Linked DNA regions of Stegostoma tigrinum. The protein of the gene in region 2 purifies or fractionates together with the protein of the main gene of each other region. This does not show direct contact. Links are inferred from orthologs where the notes say so. Each region holds a gene or a part of one and is shown on either strand. Other genes may lie near its edges.

Region 1 (10,546 bases), on a different chromosome or scaffold from region 2:
CCAGCCCAGCTCGTCCCCGCCTCCCTAACTTGTTCTTCCTCTCTCCTATCCCCTCCTCCTATCTCAAGTCACACCTCCATTTCCTCCCTACTAACCTCATCCCACCCCCTTGGCCAGTCTGTCCTCCTCAGACTGACCTATCCCCTCCCTACCTCCCCACCTACACCCACCTCTACTGGCTCCATCCCCGCCCCTTTAACTTGTCTGTGTTCTCTCTACCTATCTTCTCCTCTATTCACCTTCGATCCGCCTCCCCCTCTCTCCCTATTTATTTCAGAACCCTTTCCCGATCCCCCTTTTCTGATGAAGGGGCGAGACCCGAAACATCAGCTTCTGTGCTCCTAAGATATTGCTTAGCCTGCTGTGTTCATCCAGCTCCACAGTTTGTTATCAAAGCATTAATGTAGATAGTTTTGACCAGAAACGCATAAGACATCAGAACAGAAGTAGGCCATTCAGCCCATCCAATCTGCGCTGCAACTCAACATGTTCATGGTCTGATAAATCTCCTCTATTCTCCTGTCTTTTTCCCATAACCGTTGATTCTCTTACTGATTAAAAATACACTGAATGAACCAGCCTCACTAGCCTTTTGTGATAAATAAATCTACAGATTCCCCACTTTCTGAGGGAAGAAATTCTTCCTCATCTCTACCTTAAATATGTGAACCCTTATTCTGAGATTACGCCCTATAGTGGAAGACTCTCCCACAAGTGGAAACACCTTTCTGCGATAGAGATAATGGGAACTGCAGATGCTGGAGGATCCAAGATAATAAAATGTGAGGCTGGATGAACACAGCAGGCCAAGCAGCATCTCAGGAGCACAAAAGCTGTGCTTCTGAGATGCTGCTTGGCCTGCTGTGTTCATCCAGCCTCACATTTTACAACCTTTCTGCATCTTCTCTGTCAAGTCCTATAAAAATATTGTATGTTTCAATAAGCTCACCTCCCATTCTTTTATATTCCAACAAGTCCAGGCCCAATCTACACAACCTCTCATCATAAGACAGTCCCTCCTTGCATTCGAGATAATGGGAACTGCAGATGCTGGAGAATTCCAAGATAATAAAATGTGAGGCTGGATGAACACAGCAGGCCAAGCAGCATCTCAGGAGCACAAAAGCTGACGTTTCGGGCCTAGACCCTTCATCAGAGAGGGGGATGGGGAGAGGAGGTGGAATAAATAGGGAGAGAGGGGGAGGCGGACCGAAGATGGAGACTAAAGAAGATAGGTGGAGAGAGTATAGGTGGGGAGGTAAGGAGGGGATAGGTCAGTCCAGGGAAGACGGACAGGTCAAGGAGGTGGGATGAGGTTAGTAGGTAGCTGGGGGTGCGGCTTGGGGTGGGAGGAAGGGATGGGTGAGAGGAAGAACCGGTTAGGGAGGCAGAGACAGGTTGGACTGGTTTTGGGATGCAGTGGGTGGGGGGGAAGAGTTGGGCTGGTTGTGTGGTGCAGTGGGGGGAGGGGACGAACTAGGCTGGTTTAGGGATGCAGTAGGGGAAGGGGAGATTTTGAAACTGGTGAAGTCCACATTGATACCATATGGCTGCAGGGTTCCCAGGCGGAATATGAGTTGCTGTTCCTGCAACCTTCGGGTGGCATCATTGTGGCAGTGCAGGAGGCCCATGATGGACATGTCATCTAGAGAATGGGAGGGGGAGTGGAAATGGTTTGCGACTGGGAGGTGCAGTTGTTTGTTGCGAACTGAGCGGAGGTGTTCTGCAAAGCGGTCCCCAAGCCTCCGCTTGGTTTCCCCAATGTAGAGGAGGCCGCACCGGGTACAGTGGATGCAGTCTACCACATTGGCAGATGTGCAGGTGAACCTCTGCTTAATGTGGAATGTCATCTTGGGGCCTGTGATAGGGGTGAGGGAGGAGGTGTGGGGACAAGTGTAGCATTTCCTGCGGTTGCAGGGGAAGGTGCCGGGTGTGGTGGGGTTGGAGGGCAGTGTGGAGCGAACAAGGGAGTCACGGAGAGAGTGGTCTCTCTGGAAAGCAGACAGGGGAGGAGATGGAAAAATATCTTGGGTGGTGGGGTCGGATTGTAAATGGCGGAAGTGTCGGAGGATGATGCGTTGTATCCGGAGGTTGGTAGGGTGGTGTGTGAGAACGAGGGGGATCCTCTTTGGGCGGTTGTGGCGGCGGCGGGGTGTGAGGGATGTGTTGCGGGAAATACGGGAGACGCGGTCAAGGGCATTCTCGATCACTGTGGGGGGAAAGTTGCGGTCCTTAAAGAACTTGGACATCTGGGATGTGTGGGAGTGGAATGTCTTATCGTGGGAGCAGATGTGGCGGAGGCGGAGGAATTGGGAATAGGGCATGGAATTTTTGCAGGAGGGTGGGTGGGAGGAGGTGTATTCTAGGTAGCTGTGGGAGTCGGTGGGCTTGAAATGGACATCAGTTACAAGCTGGTTGCCTGAGATGGAGACTGAGAGGTCCAGGAAGGTGAGGGATGTGCTGGAGATGGCCCAGGTGAACTGAAGGTTAGGGTGGAAGGTGTTGGTGAAGTGGATGAACTGTTCGAGCTCCTCTGGGGAGCAAGATGTGGCGCCGATACAGTCATCAATGTACCGGAGGAAGAGGTGGGGTTTGGGGCCTGTGTAGGTGCGGAAGAGGGACTGTTCCACGTAACCTACAAAGAGGCAGGCATAGCTGGGGCCCATGCGGGTGCCCATGGCCACCCCCTTAGTCTGTAGGAAGTGGGAGGAGTCAAAAGAGAAGTTGTTGAGTGTGAGGACGAGTTCAGCTAGGTGGATGAGAGTGTCGGTGGAGGGGAACTGGTCGGGCCTGCGGGACGGGAAGCAGCGGAGGGCCTTGAGGCCCTCCTTGCATTCGCCTAGTGAACCTTTGTTGAACTGCTTCCAATGCCTGAGAGAAGGGGCCTAAAATTGTTCACAGTACTTCAACTGTGGTCGAACTTCTGTAGTTTTGGCAAGACCTCCCTTTTGTTTATTCTCCATCCCCTTTGAGGTAAAGGCATGTGACTTCCCTACTGCGTGCTGAACATTGATGTTAACATTTTGGGATTCATGGACCAAATCCATCCATTCTGTCGCTTTCCACATTCTTGCTGGTTCACCCAATGTATAATATTACCTCAGCATTTGGGCCGATTCAGCCAATTCCAGCAGAATCGGAGTAATACAACCAGCAGCAAGTAAGCAGAACTCCAACTGTTTATTTTATGTTCTTACAGATGCTGCTATTGACTCACCTTGACTATAAATGTGAATTTTAACAATATTGCTAACTCCTCCTTTCCCGGTCTCTCTTATGGTCCTGTAACCTTCTGACATATTGACAAAATACCCAGGTCAGATAAGTCTGGAGTAGTTGGCCTCGGACCCTGGCCTCTAGTTGTGTTTCTGAACTCACGCTGCTTCATGCTGGATGCTTTAAAGGGAGGGGGAAATACATTAGTAATGGCTATACATATCGGCAAAGCGGTTCAGTTTTAGGATTGCCTCAGACCAGTGGTTGGAGGTGGAGGGGGGATGGTGGAATACAAAGGTGCATTCCCTCCCTTCAGCTTCATTTACAGAACTCAAGCAAAAACAAAAGAGAAATAAAATAGTTCTCTCGCAGGCACAGATTTAGGAAAAAAAAACAGGCAAGGGCTGAACATAATCAAATGGGCTGGCACATCTGAAATGTGTCTTGTCGGAGGAAGTTGTATTTGGCGGCTGTGCGCCGGCAGTATTAATATTTGATAAGATCTTGAGGGGAGGAATTTGTATGCAAATGAAATAGACGCTAATCCAAGCGACAGCCGAAGCTGTTTTCTGTCTCTCTCTCTCTCTCTCTCGTGGGTGTGTGTTGGGGGGGGATTCCTGGATGGAGTTAAGATGGAGGACCAGATCGTTATAAGGATGTAAATGATCGCAGAGAGGCTTCTTTTTTCTGGGGGGGGCATATTAAAGAAAACATTCCCGCAGCCCCCCACCTCCCTCCCTTCCTTCCTTCCTCCTGCCCGGACTTATGGAGGGTGTTACAACACTACAACATGCATAGGAAAGGCAATGGAGAGCTCCCTTTGCCGGATGGTTGGGAAGAAGCGAGAGATTACGACGGTAAAGTCTTCTACATTGACCACAACACCAAGCAGACCAGCTGGATCGATCCCCGCGACAGGTAGGAGGACAGTTTGCAACACGGGAGGAGAAGGGAACGGGTTCCAGCGCTTGCTAACAGCAGCGAGGCATTTGGCTGTGAGTCCGGACCAGAGCAGCCTGCTCCGGACAACGGGAGCTTGTCTTATACACCCTTCTCATCCCCCCAATAGTTTACCCGACTCCCTGAGTGCTCCCACCAACTTTAATACACCGGGGAGCACACGCGAAATACCAGAATGTTTAAACTCCTGCAGTGCAGATTTCACTGGAATGCTTTGGAATTTTTTTTTTGTTTTGGAGTGGGAGGAGATTTCCTCGTTCAAATCAATTTATTATATCTATTCCCTTCCTCCCCAATATTGCTGTATGTACACCCCCCCTCCCCATCCCGGTGCAGTGTTTGTCCAGGTATCCTGTTGAGGTGGATCGCCGCTTTCTGTGCAGCGATGTGAAGGGGAAGTTTGCAGCAATCTTTCACAACTTTTTTTTCCCTTGGTTGGAGATAAAGATTCCAAAGGGATTTGAAAGTGCCGGCAGTGCGAGGATGTTGTGATGAAGGGTTTTTGTTGTTGTCGTGGTTGTTGGGACATGGCCGAGGAGGAGCTGGGTCTGGTAGTTCACAGGTCACCCAGATCCCAGGGAAAACCGAACAATTCGCTGATGAGGGACAGGGCGATGTCTGGGGAAAGGACATTTGTAAATACGTTAGCAGTTGGATAGCCCCCATTGATAACGGATCCCAACCTCCTTTCCTCCTACTTTTGTGCTGGCTGGGAGCTTTCTCTCCGTTTTCACTGGGTTCTGGAACCTTTGGGCCCCATTCCCCTCTCCCCATTCATTCTTCTTCTGTCCAACGACTCCCTCCCCTCCTACTCCATTTCCTTCACTTTCTTCCTCGCTCATCCCTCAGAACCCTGCCCTCAGCCTCCTTTCTCTCCAATTTCCTCACCAACCTGCCTCCTTTTCCTCTCTCCCCACTCCATTTTGCAGCCTCCAGCAATCTTTCCCTTCCTCCCTCACATCCCCATTACCACCTGCCCCCCCACCCACCTCACCCCCACCTTCATCTCCCTGTCTCTACTCTCCTTCCTTGCTCCATATACTCTGCCTCACGTCTCATACCATCCCTCTGGTCCTGCATTGCTCCCCTCCCTCCTCCCTCCTCTCTTCCTCCACCTCTTCTCCCTCATTCTTTTCCATCTCTGTCTTACTACCCTTCCACTTTATTCCCCTGACTTTCCACTTTACCCCTCCTTCTCCTGTCACTCCTCGGCCCCTTAACAATCTCTCCCTCTTCCTAACCCTTTGCCTCTCTTCTATCCCACTATGTCTCCTCTTTCCTGCCACCTCCAGACCTCTTAACCCCTCCTCACCATCCTTCTCAGTCATCAACCCTCCTCCCCCTCTCCATCCTCAATCCCCACACTCTTCTCTGCCCCCTCTCCGTCCACCCCCACAAACTCCTTTTTCCATCCCCCCAACCCTTCTTCCCGCCTCCTGTCCATCCTTCCCCACAATGGGACCAAGTTACTTTCCTGGCCTCTGGGCCCTGCCATCATGCACTGCTGGACTGAATACGGGTAGGAAGTCAGAGCTGCTGGGCGGTGGGGGAGTAAAACAGTCAAGGAAGACGTTTTCAGAGATAATGGGAACTGCAGATGCTGGAGAATCCAAGATAACAAAGTGTGAAACTGGATGAACACAGCAGGCCAAGCAGCATCTCAGGAACACAAAAGCTGACGTATCGGGCCTAGACCCTTCAGTGCTCCTGAGATGCTGCTTGGCCTGCTGTGTTCATCCAGTTTCACACTTTGTTATCAAGGAAGATGTTGTGGCGGAATGGGACAGAGTTGATGGGAGATAGTAAGAACTGCCGAAGCTGGAGTCAGAGTCAACACAGTGTGGAGCTGGAGGAACACAGCAGGTCAGGTAGCATCAGAGGAGCAGGAAAGTTGACATTTCGGGCCTGCTGGAACACAAGCTGAAAGTGAGAGGCTAATATTGCTGAGCTGCCAGACCTGCTTTCCCTGAGTGTGAGGGTATGGTATTCCTAGCATTAAGAAAGTTTCATTTACAGAACCAAAACTTTGATGCAAATGGAGATGAGCATATCTGATAAATAATTGGTTTGAAATTTTAATTCCCTGCAGTTTGAGTTGAATGAAATGGATCACTCGTCACTTTGTTTGCAGATTTCTATCTCGGATTGATAGTTGGTTGTTACTGTGATGATGTGAGTTCCTTTTTATTTACATGTATGAATACTTGGGCCTCGCGAAGTGCTGCTGGTTTCATGCAAATTGTTGCTTTTGAGACTTTCATTAGAATGTTGCAATTGGCATTCTCTGAACAGTCAGTTTACAAGGTCAGTTGTGGCACAGTGATATGTCCCTACACTGAGCTGGAGCCCTGGCTTTAAGACCCACTGGTTCAAGAGGTGTTTAATAACATTGCTGAACAGGTTGATTAGAAAACAGAGACAATAAGGTGTCGAGCTGGATAAACGCAGCGGGCCAAGCAGCATCAGAGGAGCAGGAAAGCTGACGTTTTGGGTCTGGACCCTTTCTGACAAAGGATCTGCTGTGTCCATCCAGCTCTATACCTTGTTCTCTCAGATTCTCAAGCATCGGCAGTTCCTACTAGCTCTTGATTAGAAAACAGTTGTTTTTAAATGGCCCTGTGGATAGGCAGCCACTTCTGGCTCCCACCCTGGACTCCCAGAGTGCCACTTTGCACTTTGAAACTTTCAAAGGCTGTTCATTGCTCTTGGAAAATACAACACTTCCAGGTGTCCCCACTGTCGTCAAAGCTCGGTGCAAGCACAGCAGTGTGGTATTTCAAAGTTTGTGGGTAGTGGAGTTGAGATTTCCAGTTGTTTTGTTATTGCTGAACGTGAATGCTCCATTTCGTGGTTGGAGAGGGAAAGTCAATGGGACCAGTTGTTTGCTTCTGCATAAGAAAGTTTTCGAGTCTGTGCCCCACTTCCAGAGACTTGAGCACAACATTGACAGTGGTGTCACACAGTTGGAGCTACCACCCTTGGCATAGGTCATCCATAGCACGGTTTTGCAGAGTAGGGAGCATTGTCTTGATGTCTAAGTCAACACTGCCAAAGTCGCTAAACAGGCTTAAGTGGCTTAGCATGGTAAATGATGAGACAATGTTTCCCCTCATTGGAGAGTCTAGGACCAGAGGGAATTGTCTCAGAATAAATATGTGCCAATTTAAGACTGAGATGCAGAGGAATTTCATCTCCCAGAGGATTATGAGTCTTTGGAACTTCTTGCCACAGTGAGCTCTGGGGGCAAAGTCATTGTGTATATGTGTGGCTGAGGTAGATAGATTCTTGATCAGCAGGGTTACGGGGAAAAGGTAGGACAGTGGATATGAGGAATGTCAGATCAGCTGTGATCTTATTGAAAGATGAAGCAGATTTGATGGGCCAAATGGCCTACTCCTGTTCCTGTTTCTTATGGTCTTAAGGTTGTTATTGCATTGGTGTGAGGTCTTGCTATGCCCACGTTGGCCACCATTTTTCCTGCATTGCAACAGTGCAACATTGTAGCACTTCAAGTATACTTTGGTGATTGTGAATGATTTCGGAACATCTTGAAACTGTGATATATACTGTGTAATTGGAAGAAACACAAAAAATGCTGGTGAAACTCATCAGGTATGGCAGCCTGACAAAAGTACTATTGCACTCAAAATGTTAACTCTGTTTCTGTCTCCTCAGATGCTGCCAGACCAGCTGAGTTTCTCCAGTACTTTGTCTTTTTAGTTCAGATCTCCAGTATCTGCAGTGTTTTATTTTCATTTAAATTTACAAATGGAAATTTTTCTTTGGGTTTCAGTCTGATGTGTTCTGAAGCTAGATTTCTCTGGCATATAGACTTGTTGCTCCTTGGTCACCAAGTTGTAAATTCAGAATTTCTGAAGGTTTTTGAGCCAATTGTACTCTACGTGGTTGGCCATTTCTGTGTCTAGTTTACTCCCTTTTTGCAAAGGTCATCTGACAAATTGATCTATTGAGTTCTCATTGCTTAACTTTGAGATAGATGCTGCTTACTGGGATTCACTTTGTTCATGAAGATCGTTTTCAATCTGAATTGTGCTTTTGTGCTGATGGGTCAGTGAGTAAATGTGATATAAATTGTGGAGCTGAGCCATATAGTGCCAGAGTGAGGCATCTATTTTCAGTGCTTGGGGAAGGTGAAACTCAACCTTTAAAAGGCAGCAGAAAAATCCCAAAAACTGTTACAAATTGTGCTGATAATTGTTGGATTATAAACTGCATTTTATGCCATCTTTGTTGTTGTGTGGACTCCAGGGATCAGTTTTTGTGAGCCACTTCCAGCAATTGCATGGCCAAATCCAGTACACATTGTCGAGAGTTCTGTTGAGATGAACACTGCTGTTCGACAATCATCGGGAGACATTGAAGCAGGAAAAAGCAATTCAGTTGGAGTGTCCTTTGGCTTTCCCATTTCACAGAGAGTGGCTGGAATCTGGTATTCTTAGCCCAGTGACAACAGCAACAACAACTGTATTTAAATGGTGTTTTAGCACAGCAAAAAATCCTGAGGATGTTCACAACTTGATGCTAAGTATCAGAAGGAGATATTAGGACAGGTCGAAGTGGCCACTTTTACTGAGTATTTTAAAGGAAAGAAGAGAGGGAGGAAGGTTTAAGGAGAGCTGTCAGCAGTTCACCATGTAGACAACTGAAGGCACAGGCACCGATGCTGGAGCAGTAGAAGCCAGAGACATGCAAGATGTCAAAATTGGATGATCTCTGAGGGTATTGGTGCCAGAACCGATGACAAAAATAGCAAGAAGTAAGGCCTAGAACAAGGATGAGAAGTTTAACACTGAAGTGTTGCTAGACCAAAAGTGCAGGAACACAGAGGATGGTGGGTGATTGGGGCCTAGTGTGAGCTAGGATGAGCTCAAGTTTAATGGAGAATGCAAAATGGAGAGCTAGCCATGACAACACTGGAATAAAGGTAATAATAATAGTAATCCTGTGGTAATAAAGGCAAAGAAGAGGATTCAGCAGTAAATAAACTGAACAAAATACTTCGATAAGCAACAGCGTGTGGAGTGTCAGTGGAAGTATGTCTTACAGTTCATGGAAAATGAATTGAAGCTATTGTCAACCGGATCAGAAAGGTGCAGTCAGAGGGTACTTTTTAAAAAAGTGTTTTTCATGTGGGTTGTGGGATTCTTACAAAGCTGTTAATACATATTAGAGTAGCAGGTAAAATACAGAAGCATTGCACCTGTTATCCATTGTCAATGAAAGAAAGTCGGGCTTTAGGTAGCAGGATTACACAACTGTAATCACACTGAAGTAGATGGATTTAGCACCGTACCAGTGGTGGTGCTCTGATGCATATTTATTTTAATGGCATTGTATTTATTATTTTGTAAGATGGTAGTGAAAAGAACCCATGGAGATGAGAAAATGTCTTGCAGCCAGTTGTTATGATTTGGAATGCTCTGCCTGAAAGCATGCTAGAAGCAAATTCACTTGTAACTTTCAAAAGAGGATTGAATACATGTGAAAAGAAAAATGTCAGGGCTATGGGAGGCAGAGGAACTGGGTTATATTAGCTGTTTCTAAGAACCAGTATAGGTATAATGGGGTGGATGGCCTCCTTTATGTGGATCAAAGGAAGATTTAGTGATGTAGCACCTCTCATAATCCACAGGGACTCCGAAAGCTCCTCACAGTCAGCGAAATACTCTTTAAAATGGAGTTGCTGTGGTAGGAAACAAACTGATCAATTTATTTACAGCAAGGTGCTATGAACAGCAATGTGATCATGGCCAGATCATTTTTTTGTGTGTAAAGTTGATTGAAGTCTAAATATTGGACATTGGCAATAATACCTCCACTGTTAATCGAGATGTTCTGATACAGTGCATTTTATGTAAGCCAAGGTGACACACAAACTATCTTATGTGAGAGATGGCACTCGCTCAATATTTCACTGGAATAATACCTAGACATTTTGTGATCATGTCCTGGAGTGAGACTTGAACCTATAACCTTTGAGAATTCAAAGAAGGTACCAAAGATAGCCACAGCCTCATTATTTTGTTAAGGAATATCAAAAATGTCCTGAGCACAAAAGTCTGCAGAATTATTTGTGTCTTAATTCAGCAGTCACACTGATGCAGTCATGCCTGTTAAATCAATAAGTTGATTGGTGTATGCACTAATTTATGTACAGAGAAGATGACTAAGTAAACCAAATTCTGATTTTAATACATAGACTTGCATGACCTTTTGCTACTATTATAGTCTGTTATTAAACCTTTGTTTATTTTGTGAAAACTAATCGGACTGACAATTGTTTGTTCATTTAAAAACAAACAATGCAATAGACCTCTACTTCATTTCAGTTTTACTTGAAACTAAAAGT
Region 2 (10,546 bases):
AACATCCAAACAAAGGGATTACCAACAAGATTTCACATTTTGTGACTTTAGTTATTACCATTTTACATTTTCTACTTGGGTAAAATCATAATTTACACATGCAACAGCAGATGTAGCAAACACTATCCTATGGCATTAGTTGGCAGTCAACCTCACTTGTTCATTCCACAAACAGTTTCAGTCACACAGTCCCTCCGAACCGAATTCTGGTCTCTTTCTTTCAAGGACTTAGCCAATTTGCCACAGGCAACACACAGTTTTTGTCTTCTCTTTGTCTCTCTAGTCTAGTCTATGTACACTAAACCATCAGGCTTCTGCAGTACCTTGTTTTATGGCTGAGAATTAAGTCGAAGGATAGTGACCTCTCCTGAAAATTCAAAGAACAGGAAAGTCAACAGTCCTGATGAAGGGTCCTGACCTGAAATGTCAACATTCCTGTTCCTCTGTTGCTGCCTGACCTGCTCTGTTCCTCCAGCTCCACACTATATTGACTCTGATTTCCAGCATGTGCAGTTCTTCCTACCACCTGAAAATTATATGGGCAGCCCCAAAATTCCATGGACTTTGATTCTGGTACATCCTTCAGAATTGTACCTTCCAACATCCATTGATTCTAAACTTGCTGGAGAATGCAGTCAATAAGAAAGTATCCAATTATCTTGGGCCTGTTGTCACGCATGCTGCACCAGGTACATCTTAAGCATCTGCCTGTACTAAACAATTGTGAAATCTGTTTTGGTGATAGGTCCAATGTGAATGACTGGTGCTCCTAGAAATATTCAAAATAGGGTCCAAGCCTGTGCTTCTGTGGCTTGATGACCTATACTGATCCCTGATTATGCCAGCAGGAAGATTATGCACTTTGCTTAGGATAACAGGATGGAAATATTTTTAATTCCTGAAGATTGATTGTATGTCAAACCTGTAGCATTAGGTTTATGGTGACATGAAGTATCTAAAAACAAAATCAATGTAGTCCCAGAATTTATTTGCATTCTATATTGAATTTACATTTCAGTAAATGTCATATGACTCATTTACTGTGTCTGTGATCTGTAATTGTTTAAAAATTTATTATTTATGCCATTGTATCTTTATTATTTATGACAATGTATCTTCCTCTGTTAAATATGTGTAAAAATAAGTCTCTTTTCAGTGGTTACCTAAGTCCTACAAGCGATTGAATAAAATGTAAATTATAAAATAACATACAAGATGTATTTTTGTGTGCTATTAAATGCTGTCAAGTGTACCACTAGCAAAAAAGGTCAAGAATACAGAAAAGAATATAAAGGAATATAGAGGTTGAACTTCTGAGAGTTTTACTGATCGTCCACTATAACTGTGATACAGTAACATTTCACTGGGATTTACTCAGGGCCTTTGCAGATCCCTCAGTAAATGTATTTATCTGAAAATTCGTATGGAAATTCACACTACTTACATCAGTAACTACAGTGAATCCTTTCTTCAAGAGAAGTTTGTAAGTCACCCAATCACAACCTGTCCTAATCACTGTGAAACATCTCACCGTCCACCCCGCTTTGTGTTGTCTGCAAGCTTACAAATATTTATTTCCTTCAACTTAATCAGCAATATCTGCTATGAGCTCCTGGGGTCCAAGAATGCTGTCAGGGTACAGCAGTTATTATGGGTGACTTCAATCTACATATAGATTAGGCTAACCAAACTGATAGTAATGTGATGGAGGAGGATTTCCTAGAATGTATGACCAACATGTCAAGGAACCAATGAGATAGAGAGCCATCTTAGACTGGGTATTGTGTAATGAAAGAGGATTAATTAGCAACATTGTCGTACAACATCCTTTTGGGAAGATTAGCTATAATATGGTAGAATTCTTCATTAATATGGAGAGTGACACAGTTAAATCTGAGTCTAGGGTCCTCAAGTTAAAGAAAGCTAACTTTGATGGTATGAGGCATGTATTGGCTAGGATAAACTAGGCAAGGGTACTTAACAGGTTGATGGTGGATAGACAATGGCAGACATTTAGAGAACACATGGATGAACTTCAACAATTCTACATCTATGTCTTGACTTATCACAGATCATATTTATCTCTTCAGTATGGAAACAGGCCCTTCTGCCCAACAAGTCCACACTGAACCTTAGAGCATCCAACCCAGACCCATCCCCTTATAACCCACCTAACACATCCCTGAACACTATGGACAACTCATCATGGCCCATCCATCTAGCCTGCACTAGGACATTTTGGACTGTCGGAGAAAACTGGAGCACCCGAAGGAAACCCATGCAGACACGGGGAGAATGTGCAAACTCCACACAGGCAGTCACCTGAGGCTGGAATCGAACCTTGGTCCCTGGCACTGTGAGGCAGCAGTGCTAACTACTGAGCCACCGTGCTGCCCCAATAAAGGCAAGTGTCCCTATTGCCTTCTTAATTACCCTATTAACCTGCTCTGCCAACTTCAAGGATCTGTGTTCAAGCATCCCAAGATCCCTCTGTTTCTTATGAGTTTCCTTCAGTGCTTTGTGTCTTGTCACTTATTTTAATGTGCAACACCACACACATATCAGGGTTAAATTCTATCTGCCACAGATTTGACTAAACTGTCTATATCCTCCCAAAGCTCAAGACCTTCTACCTCATTGTCAACCACCTGGTCAATTTTTACGTCATCTGCAAACTTACTTATCATCTTCTCTGACATTTTCATTTACATCATTTATATATATATATAAAATCAAAAATCAAGAGGGGACCCAGCCCCAATCCCTTGGTACATCAGTGGACACTGGCCTCCAGTCACATAAACAGTCTTCTCCCAACACACTCTCTCTCCTGACACTTAATCCAATTTTGGAACCAACTTGCTAAGTTACCCTCTTTATCAGTCTCCCATGTGGAACCTCGTTGAAAGTCTTAACTGGAATTTATGTTAATTATATCAACAGCACTACACTCATTTACATACTTGGGCAGCTCATCAAAAAGTTCAGTTACATTTGTTCAGCATGACCTCTTCTGACAAAACCATGCTGACTACCCCTGAGCAAACCTTGCTCTCTAACTGGAGATTAATCTTTTTTCTTCAGAATTTTCTCAAAAGTTTCCCTATCGTTGATGTGACGCTTGCTCATGAGCACTTCACTGTTCTATTGCTGTACTATTCTTGACAGGTGAATGAGCTGTCTTCCAGTCCTCAGGCACTTCTATGGCCAAAGAGGGAGTAAAAAATTGGGTCAGGGCCCTGTGATTTCCTCCTTCAGAAAATAATTTCATGAAATGTAAATTCATGTTTATGGAGGTTTTTTTTCATAAATCCTATACAGCAATGAATACCCACCCCCTTCTTTATCAAAAGTATTTCCAGCACTTATCTGCCCCTTTTATTGGTGTTGGCAGTGGCTCATATAATATCCTAAACTGTTTACCACAACATAGAGAAATAGAGGAGAAATTAAAGAAGACAATTTAAAGCATCAACAATCAAACTTATCAGGGCCTTCAAAGGTAGTGTGTAAAGTACAAAAGCAAAGACATTGAGAAGTGAATTCCAAAGTGCTGAGGTAATGGCTCTACTATTGTTGATTGAGATGTGGACAGAAAGTGACAAAGTAAACCAGAGTCAGAAATATGGAGTCCTGCACATTGTCCCTACAAAACAGTTGGCTGAAGACTCAGGGTAACAAAGTGTGGGGCTGGATGAACACAGCAGGCCAAGCAGCATCTTAGGTGCACATAAGCTGACGTTTCGGGCCTAGACCTTTCATCAGAAAAAGGGGATGGGGAGAGGATACTATCCCAACAGACAGCATATCGCATTCTCCTGTCACACTTGTGGTTAGTGAACAACATTGGTTTCTGACATGGAAAGAGCCCAATTTTAGTTTTCTCACCACTATTTTCAAATCCATTCATGGTTTTGCTCCCTTTATTTCCAAAAATTCTTCAAACATATGACTCTCTGAGATCTGTATACCTGTACATCTCCAATTCTCACTACTTGCACACTCTCAATTTTCATCAGTCATACCTTCAGGTAGCTGAGCCCTAACCTCCCAAAAAATCTTTGTTTTTCCCTTTCTTTAAAATCCCCTCCAATCTCCCACTAGGATAAAGATTTTCGTCAGTTGTCTAAATGTATCAATGCATTCCTTAGTGCCAAATTTTATGCGATAACACTTTCAATTTAGTGCACTGCGATTACACTGGAGGAGTTATTCAAATTTAAAATGTTTTCAATGTTTCAATTGGAATATTTTTCATGGGAAGCCTTCTGGATGAGCTTAGCTAAATTGGAACTCAGGATTGTAAAATAGGCATTCAAATAGAATGAGTACTGACTGAGATTTAAAGCATGGAAGTAAGAAAGATTAAATAATATTGATGGTAAAATGTGAGGCTGAATGAACACAGCAGGCCAAGCAGCATCTCAGGAGCACAAAAGCTGACGTTTCGGGCCTAGACCTTTCATCAGAAAAAGGGGATGGGGAGAGGATACTATCCCAACAGACAGCATATCGCATTCTCCTGTCACACTTGTGGTTAGTGAACAACATTGGTTTCTGACATGGAAAGAGCCCAATTTTAGTTTTCTCACCACTATTTTCAAATCCATTCATGGTTTTGCTCCCTTTATTTCCAAAAATTCTTCAAACATATGACTCTCTGAGATCTGTATACCTGTACATCTCCAATTCTCACTACTTGCACACTCTCAATTTTCATCAGTCATACCTTCAGGTAGCTGAGCCCTAACCTCCCAAAAAATCTTTGTTTTTCCCTTTCTTTAAAATCCCCTCCAATCTCCCACTAGGATAAAGATTTTCGTCAGTTGTCTAAATGTATCAATGCATTCCTTAGTGCCAAATTTTATGCGATAACACTTTCAATTTAGTGCACTGCGATTACACTGGAGGAGTTATTCAAATTTAAAATGTTTTCAATGTTTCAATTGGAATATTTTTCATGGGAAGCCTTCTGGATGAGCTTAGCTAAATTGGAACTCAGGATTGTAAAATAGGCATTCAAATAGAATGAGTACTGACTGAGATTTAAAGCATGGAAGTAAGAAAGATTAAATAATATTGATGGTAAAATGTGAGGCTGAATGAACACAGCAGGCCAAGCAGCATCTCAGGAGCACAAAAGCTGACGTTTCGGGCCTATCATCTGATGAAGGGTCTAGGCCCGAAACGTCAGCTTTTGTGCTCCTGAGATGCTGTTTGGCCTGCTGTATTCATCCAGCCTCACATTTTATCATCTTGGAATTCTCCAGCATCTGCAGTTCCCATTATCTCAAATAATATTGATGGCTTTGTTTTTAGGGCTAAGGCGAGTTGAGTCAAAAAGAGAAGAAATATGTAGGTGGATCTACTTGGTCATGCAGTCCTTCAGCCATCGGAAGTCTGGAGCTATATAAATGCAAGCTTAAAGTCAACGCCTTTAAAGTCCAGCATCACCCACATGGTGTCGCTCGTGAGCTGGTCTGAACAAGTAAGTGTCATCGTTCAGTGGTATATCCACATAGCATAACAATCCCACAGCTCGGTTAACGAACTGTGTGAATTCCCAATGAAAGAAAATGCATTGCTGCAAGAATTCATTACCTGGTAGGTGTTCAATGCAGTGTACTTTTAATGTATAAAGAGCGCAATGTTGATTTTAATCCGGCCAAGAGGAATCGTGCAGCACACTGTTAAGAGAGCAATCCCCCAACCGATTACGCTAAAATATTGCATGGGCAAAGTAACCAAATCGATTACATAGCTAAAGTGTTGCAGTACAGCTTTAAATCGACGTTGCCTGGGTGTGTTTTCGGTGTGTGACCATTAAGAAGCAACGACATCTCAGCCCTTCATCAGCTCACATTCCTCACATTCCACATTTCTGATGTCACGAGGCGCAGATCTTTTTTTCCAAACCCACAAACTGTGACCATGTTATTTAATCGAAAATAGTCTCGGCTGCAAGGGGACGACTAGGAAAAAAGAAAGGAGGGAGGTTAAAACAAAACAACTTGGCGATCACAAAGGCTCTCGGACCGCTGGCAGCTGCTGAAGAGTTCAGAATAGCAAACAAGAAAGTGGGCAGAAAGAAAGTTTCACCAAACAAAAGTAGTTCTTGAGCGGATGAGGTAGGGCTCTCCGTGTAACTTCAAACACTTCTGGTGAGCAGACGGACCCTGGTCCCGCGGTCCTTTAGACGAGTGGATCCTTTATCCAGAAAGGGATTTTTGTGCTAGTTTCTGCTTGTGGAAACTTTTCTCCTCCCCCCCCCCCCAACTCCCCAAACAAGAAAGGAAGAAAACACGTTGGAAAGTTTGAAGGGACGCGTGCAGTTTGTGGTTTTAATGGACTGATCAGACACAATAAAGACATGTAAACAGGTAAGGGAACTGGAGATCCTAAGTCCAAGAGCTTGCCTATTTGATTGACTATAGAAAGATAGATATACCAGAGAAGCATAGCCTTTTGATCCAAGATTTCTACTTGTCCTTGAGTGGTTTGTAGGAGTAAGTCAGACATGCCGATTAAAGGGAGGTTGTCTGCCTTACTCTCCGGCTCAAATGCCAGCATTCCTCGACAGCCCCCTTTTTTTCCAACCGCCTTGATGGTGAGGGGAAGGTCCAAGCCAAGGTATGACAGCGAGTATTTGTTTAGATTCAACTCTTCACAATACAATTCCTATAACAGAAATCTATGGCCCGCCCTCCAAGGAGGCTAACTTCAGCCTGTACTTTGTTGCAGTATATTTAAAGAGACCGTCTCGCGTTTCGGTGGCTAGGCTGACTAATGAAATAATTGTGAAAATGCCATCTCTGCCGAAATTCCACACTTAAAAGATGCTTTACTGGAATAAACGCTTTGCAAAAGTTTCCAGACTGTAGTGTAAACTGATAGATGAAGGCGATGACTCTTTGTGTGGGAGACAAGGGTTAATTTCTTTTACTTAATCATAAGGAATTGCATTGTTCAGATGAATTCTCAAAATATGAAAGCAAAATTTTAAATAAGAATATGATTTTTAAGTGCATTACTTGAATTTTGACGTTGGATCGTTGCTCAAATTTGTCAAAATATGGCTTTTTGTTCCAAGTTGGCTTCTGCATTGTTGCGATTCTGTTTTCTGATTGAAGTACCGTATTGGAAACAAAAGATGGTGTTGACTTTGAGAAGACAGTTCACTTAGTGAACGCATCTTGCAATAGAATTTGCAGTTTTACCATTTAATATTAACACTTGTGTAAAAAATTGGAATATTTGTATAAAGTTTTGAATGAAGCCTCCAACTATATTTTCATATTTATTAAATTTTACATATTTTCAATGTGCCTCTTCGAGCAGACTAAATTTGACAACATTTAGTTACAGCAGTGTAAACAATCTGATCTGAATTCCCATTTGTCACTGATCCACATTATGGACTAATCAACTATAAACTCGCAGTTTTGAAGCATATGACCTATAGGTATGCTGGAGTTCAAATTTGGGGGAAATCTGTGGCATAAACACCAGACGAAATCAACCTTGCATTAATGTTGTCACATTTTTCAAGAAGATCCAGCAGTTTAATGAATCCTAGACTTGCACTATGGTAACTCTGCTATGAAAAGCAATAGGAATTTTGGACTGAAGCAATAAAATCAGGAATAATGGACAATCTGATTATTGTTTATATATTGGAATTATGTTTGTTACAGAAGTGTGGAGATAACACTACCTCTTAAATAAACCTGTTATGATATCAGGTTATGTTTACCACGCTGTTGGATGACCTTAGCTTTGATTAATGTTCACTGTTCAAAACCAGAACCCAATATCTTCAGCTCTTCTTGGCTTTCGTTTAAAGTCTAAGGGATCCAAAACATTTGACAGAAATATATTACTGTAAGTTGGCTGCATTACAATGGTGACTACACTGCAAATGTACTTCATTGCTGTAAATCGCTGAGATGTCTACTGCACATGGAAAGCACAATATCATTGCATGTCATTCTTTTAATTTTATTTTGAAAAAATGAATGTTCAATGTAATCCTTTTTAACCAATTTGAATATATAAATATTTCCTCAATTTTCAGATTTTTATTTAACGTATTTTCACCTAATCTCATGCCTGCAACTGAAATTGTGTACAAAGTCAGTTTGTAGCCCATCACTAATACAACTGCCAGTCGGCATTAGAGACCACACAGATGTGAGTCCCTAGTCATGCTGTGTCCCTCTGTTACTTTCTCATTGCTGAGTCATAATCCCAATGCTCCCCCCTTAACAATACTGTGGGCATATCTACACCATATGGACTGCAGTGGATTAACAAGGCAGCTCACTACCACCTGCTTATGGACTATTGATGAGGTAATAAATGCTGGCCTTGCCAGACTGTATCCTGTGAATGGATATTTTAAAATAAAAGTTGCACTCAGCTGCAATCTCCTTTTGATGGGTTTCACGGTGATGCTGTGTCTACCTGTTGGGCAGTTGCAAAAAATCCCATGGTACAGTTCAAAGAAGACCTTATTTTCGAAGCGTCTGCTAGATTTTCGATATTACAAAAATGATTAAAATTTGAAAAGCATGTAATTGACATTGCAGAGTTTTGGGATGTTCTAAGGTCGTGAAAGGCATGATAAAAATGAAAATAAAAGCAATATACTGTGGATGCTGGAGATCTGAACTAATTTAAAAAATGTGTTGGAGAAAGTTAGCAAGTTTAGCAGCATCTGTGGAGTGAGAAGGAGTCAACAATTTAAGCCCCACGGCTTTTCTTCCGAACTCTTCTGCCCTGAAGAGTTATATTGTGCTCAAATTGTTAACTCTGTTTCTCTCTCTACAGGTGCTGCCAGGCCTAAGTTTCTCCAGGACTTTCTGTTGATTTAAAAATGCAAGTTCTTCAGATGATGTTAACTGGTTCTACATTTATTACTGAATTCTAGATGTCTTGATAAGGCATTGGCAGGTCTTTTTAAATTGTTACGTGGTGGTGTTCCTCCAGTGAAGCCAGCCCTGTCCAAAGTGCCTAATCACAATGCGAATTTTATTTGATTTTGTTTAGAACAATTGAATACAGTTTTGTGATCTATTGACAGTTCAGTAAAATGCCAATTAACTTTTCTGAAATTATATTTACATGCACATTTGTTTTGTGTGTATCGGGTGTGATGCCCTTCAACAACTGTTTTTAAAAAAATGAACTTGGATTTGTCCGGCAACTTTCGTGATCTGTGCACCTCAAACTGCCTTAAAATGAACAAAGTATGTTTAAAGTGCAGTCACTGTTGCAGTGTAGTGAACCTAGCAGGCACTTTGCATCCAGCAATCTCCCACAAAGAACAAATGTGATAAGACCCACGTAAAAATGGTAATAGAAATGAGCCAAAACTCAAAATAAAATTTCTTCTCCCTGCATCCTACAACATTTTGAGACCCTCAGTTCTCTAATATACTAATTCTTGCCTTTTTTGAGAATTTCTGATTCGAATTGATTTTTTTGGTAACTATGCCTTTGCTTGAAAAGCCCTAAACTCTGGACTTCAATCCAGAGCCTGTTTTTAAGTCATTCCTGCTTTGAATTGCTGGCAGAAATTTGGCTTTTTGTTTCCAATATTTTTATTTGTTTGTGCTTGATTTGAATCAAGACTGACAGCACTTTCTGTGTTGATGAAAGAAGGTGGCAAATTTGCATTGCCCAGGTGTGGGCAAAAAGGGTGCTGCCAGCCTTTGTAAATCACTTGTCTAAATATTTGAGTAAACAGAAGACTGTCTCATGTGCTGGTTTCCAATATCCACCATAGTCAATTTAAATATTCTGATGAAAATTTTAGCGCAGAATAATATCATTGACATTGCCTTTTGTTTTGAATGCAGCCATTGCTTTGCAAGCTGGATTTTCAATGTTATTGTGGACTGCAGCATCTGTCTTGGCTGTGTTGTGAAATTGTGTAGATGCTGACACAATTTTAGACTCTGTTTTCAGGTTGTAATTGCCTCACATAGGTCAGTTCTAGGGAATGATTGGACAAAAGTCAGATGATAGTAATTCACACTGAATTACAGAGTGATGAAGTTAATTTTTATTTTAAAAAAAACTCTGTTTCTACACCCTTTTGGGATTTTACATATGATTAGTAGGCACTTTTTTCACAACTTTGGTGCACATGCCTATTCATTTTCTGTATGTAGTGATTGACTGAGAGCCGACACTTGCCTGTGAATTTTGAAATTTATTTGTTTTCATGAGAAAGCAGAGGTCCCTTTTGGCTCTGTGGCAACCTATTTGTTTTAGAAGCACTATTTAACTTGCAGGTGGCAAGTCACATTTACAAGTGATGTTTATTGCAACTGATTTTGCTGTTTTAGTTGCATGCAAGTAAATCCTGTTTAGCAATTTCAGATCCAAACCAATTCCATTCCATCCTTTTGAAATGTCAGGATTACAATTTTATTTTAAACTTTTAATAAAATGAGCATTAATGTATTCATTTCAAAACCAATTGATGCTGATTCACTCTATTAAACTGACTGGTTTTATTCTGCACATTGTTTGAAATTAA

The links.
Region 1: the proteins of tyrosine-protein phosphatase non-receptor type 14-like (region 2) and protein WWC2-like purify together in Homo sapiens (affinity purification with mass spectrometry, with the first as the bait; 3 studies listed by BioGRID). This does not show direct contact. The link is inferred for Stegostoma tigrinum from reciprocal best matches to the Homo sapiens genes PTPN14 and WWC2.

The regions. Positions count from the first base shown.
Region 1 is NC_081356.1:115,413,956-115,424,501, reverse strand, and holds the start of protein WWC2-like, read left to right. Parts: upstream 1-3,752; 5' UTR 3,753-4,006; coding exon 4,007-4,134; intron 4,135-10,546. UniProt on the Homo sapiens protein: Regulator of the Hippo signaling pathway, also known as the Salvador-Warts-Hippo (SWH) pathway.
Region 2 is NC_081362.1:57,058,928-57,069,473, reverse strand, and holds the start of tyrosine-protein phosphatase non-receptor type 14-like, read left to right. Parts: upstream 1-5,827; 5' UTR 5,828-6,128; exon of another isoform or gene 6,129-6,380; intron 6,381-10,546. UniProt on the Homo sapiens protein: Protein tyrosine phosphatase which may play a role in the regulation of lymphangiogenesis, cell-cell adhesion, cell-matrix adhesion, cell migration, cell growth and also regulates TGF-beta gene expression, thereby modulating epithelial-mesenchymal transition.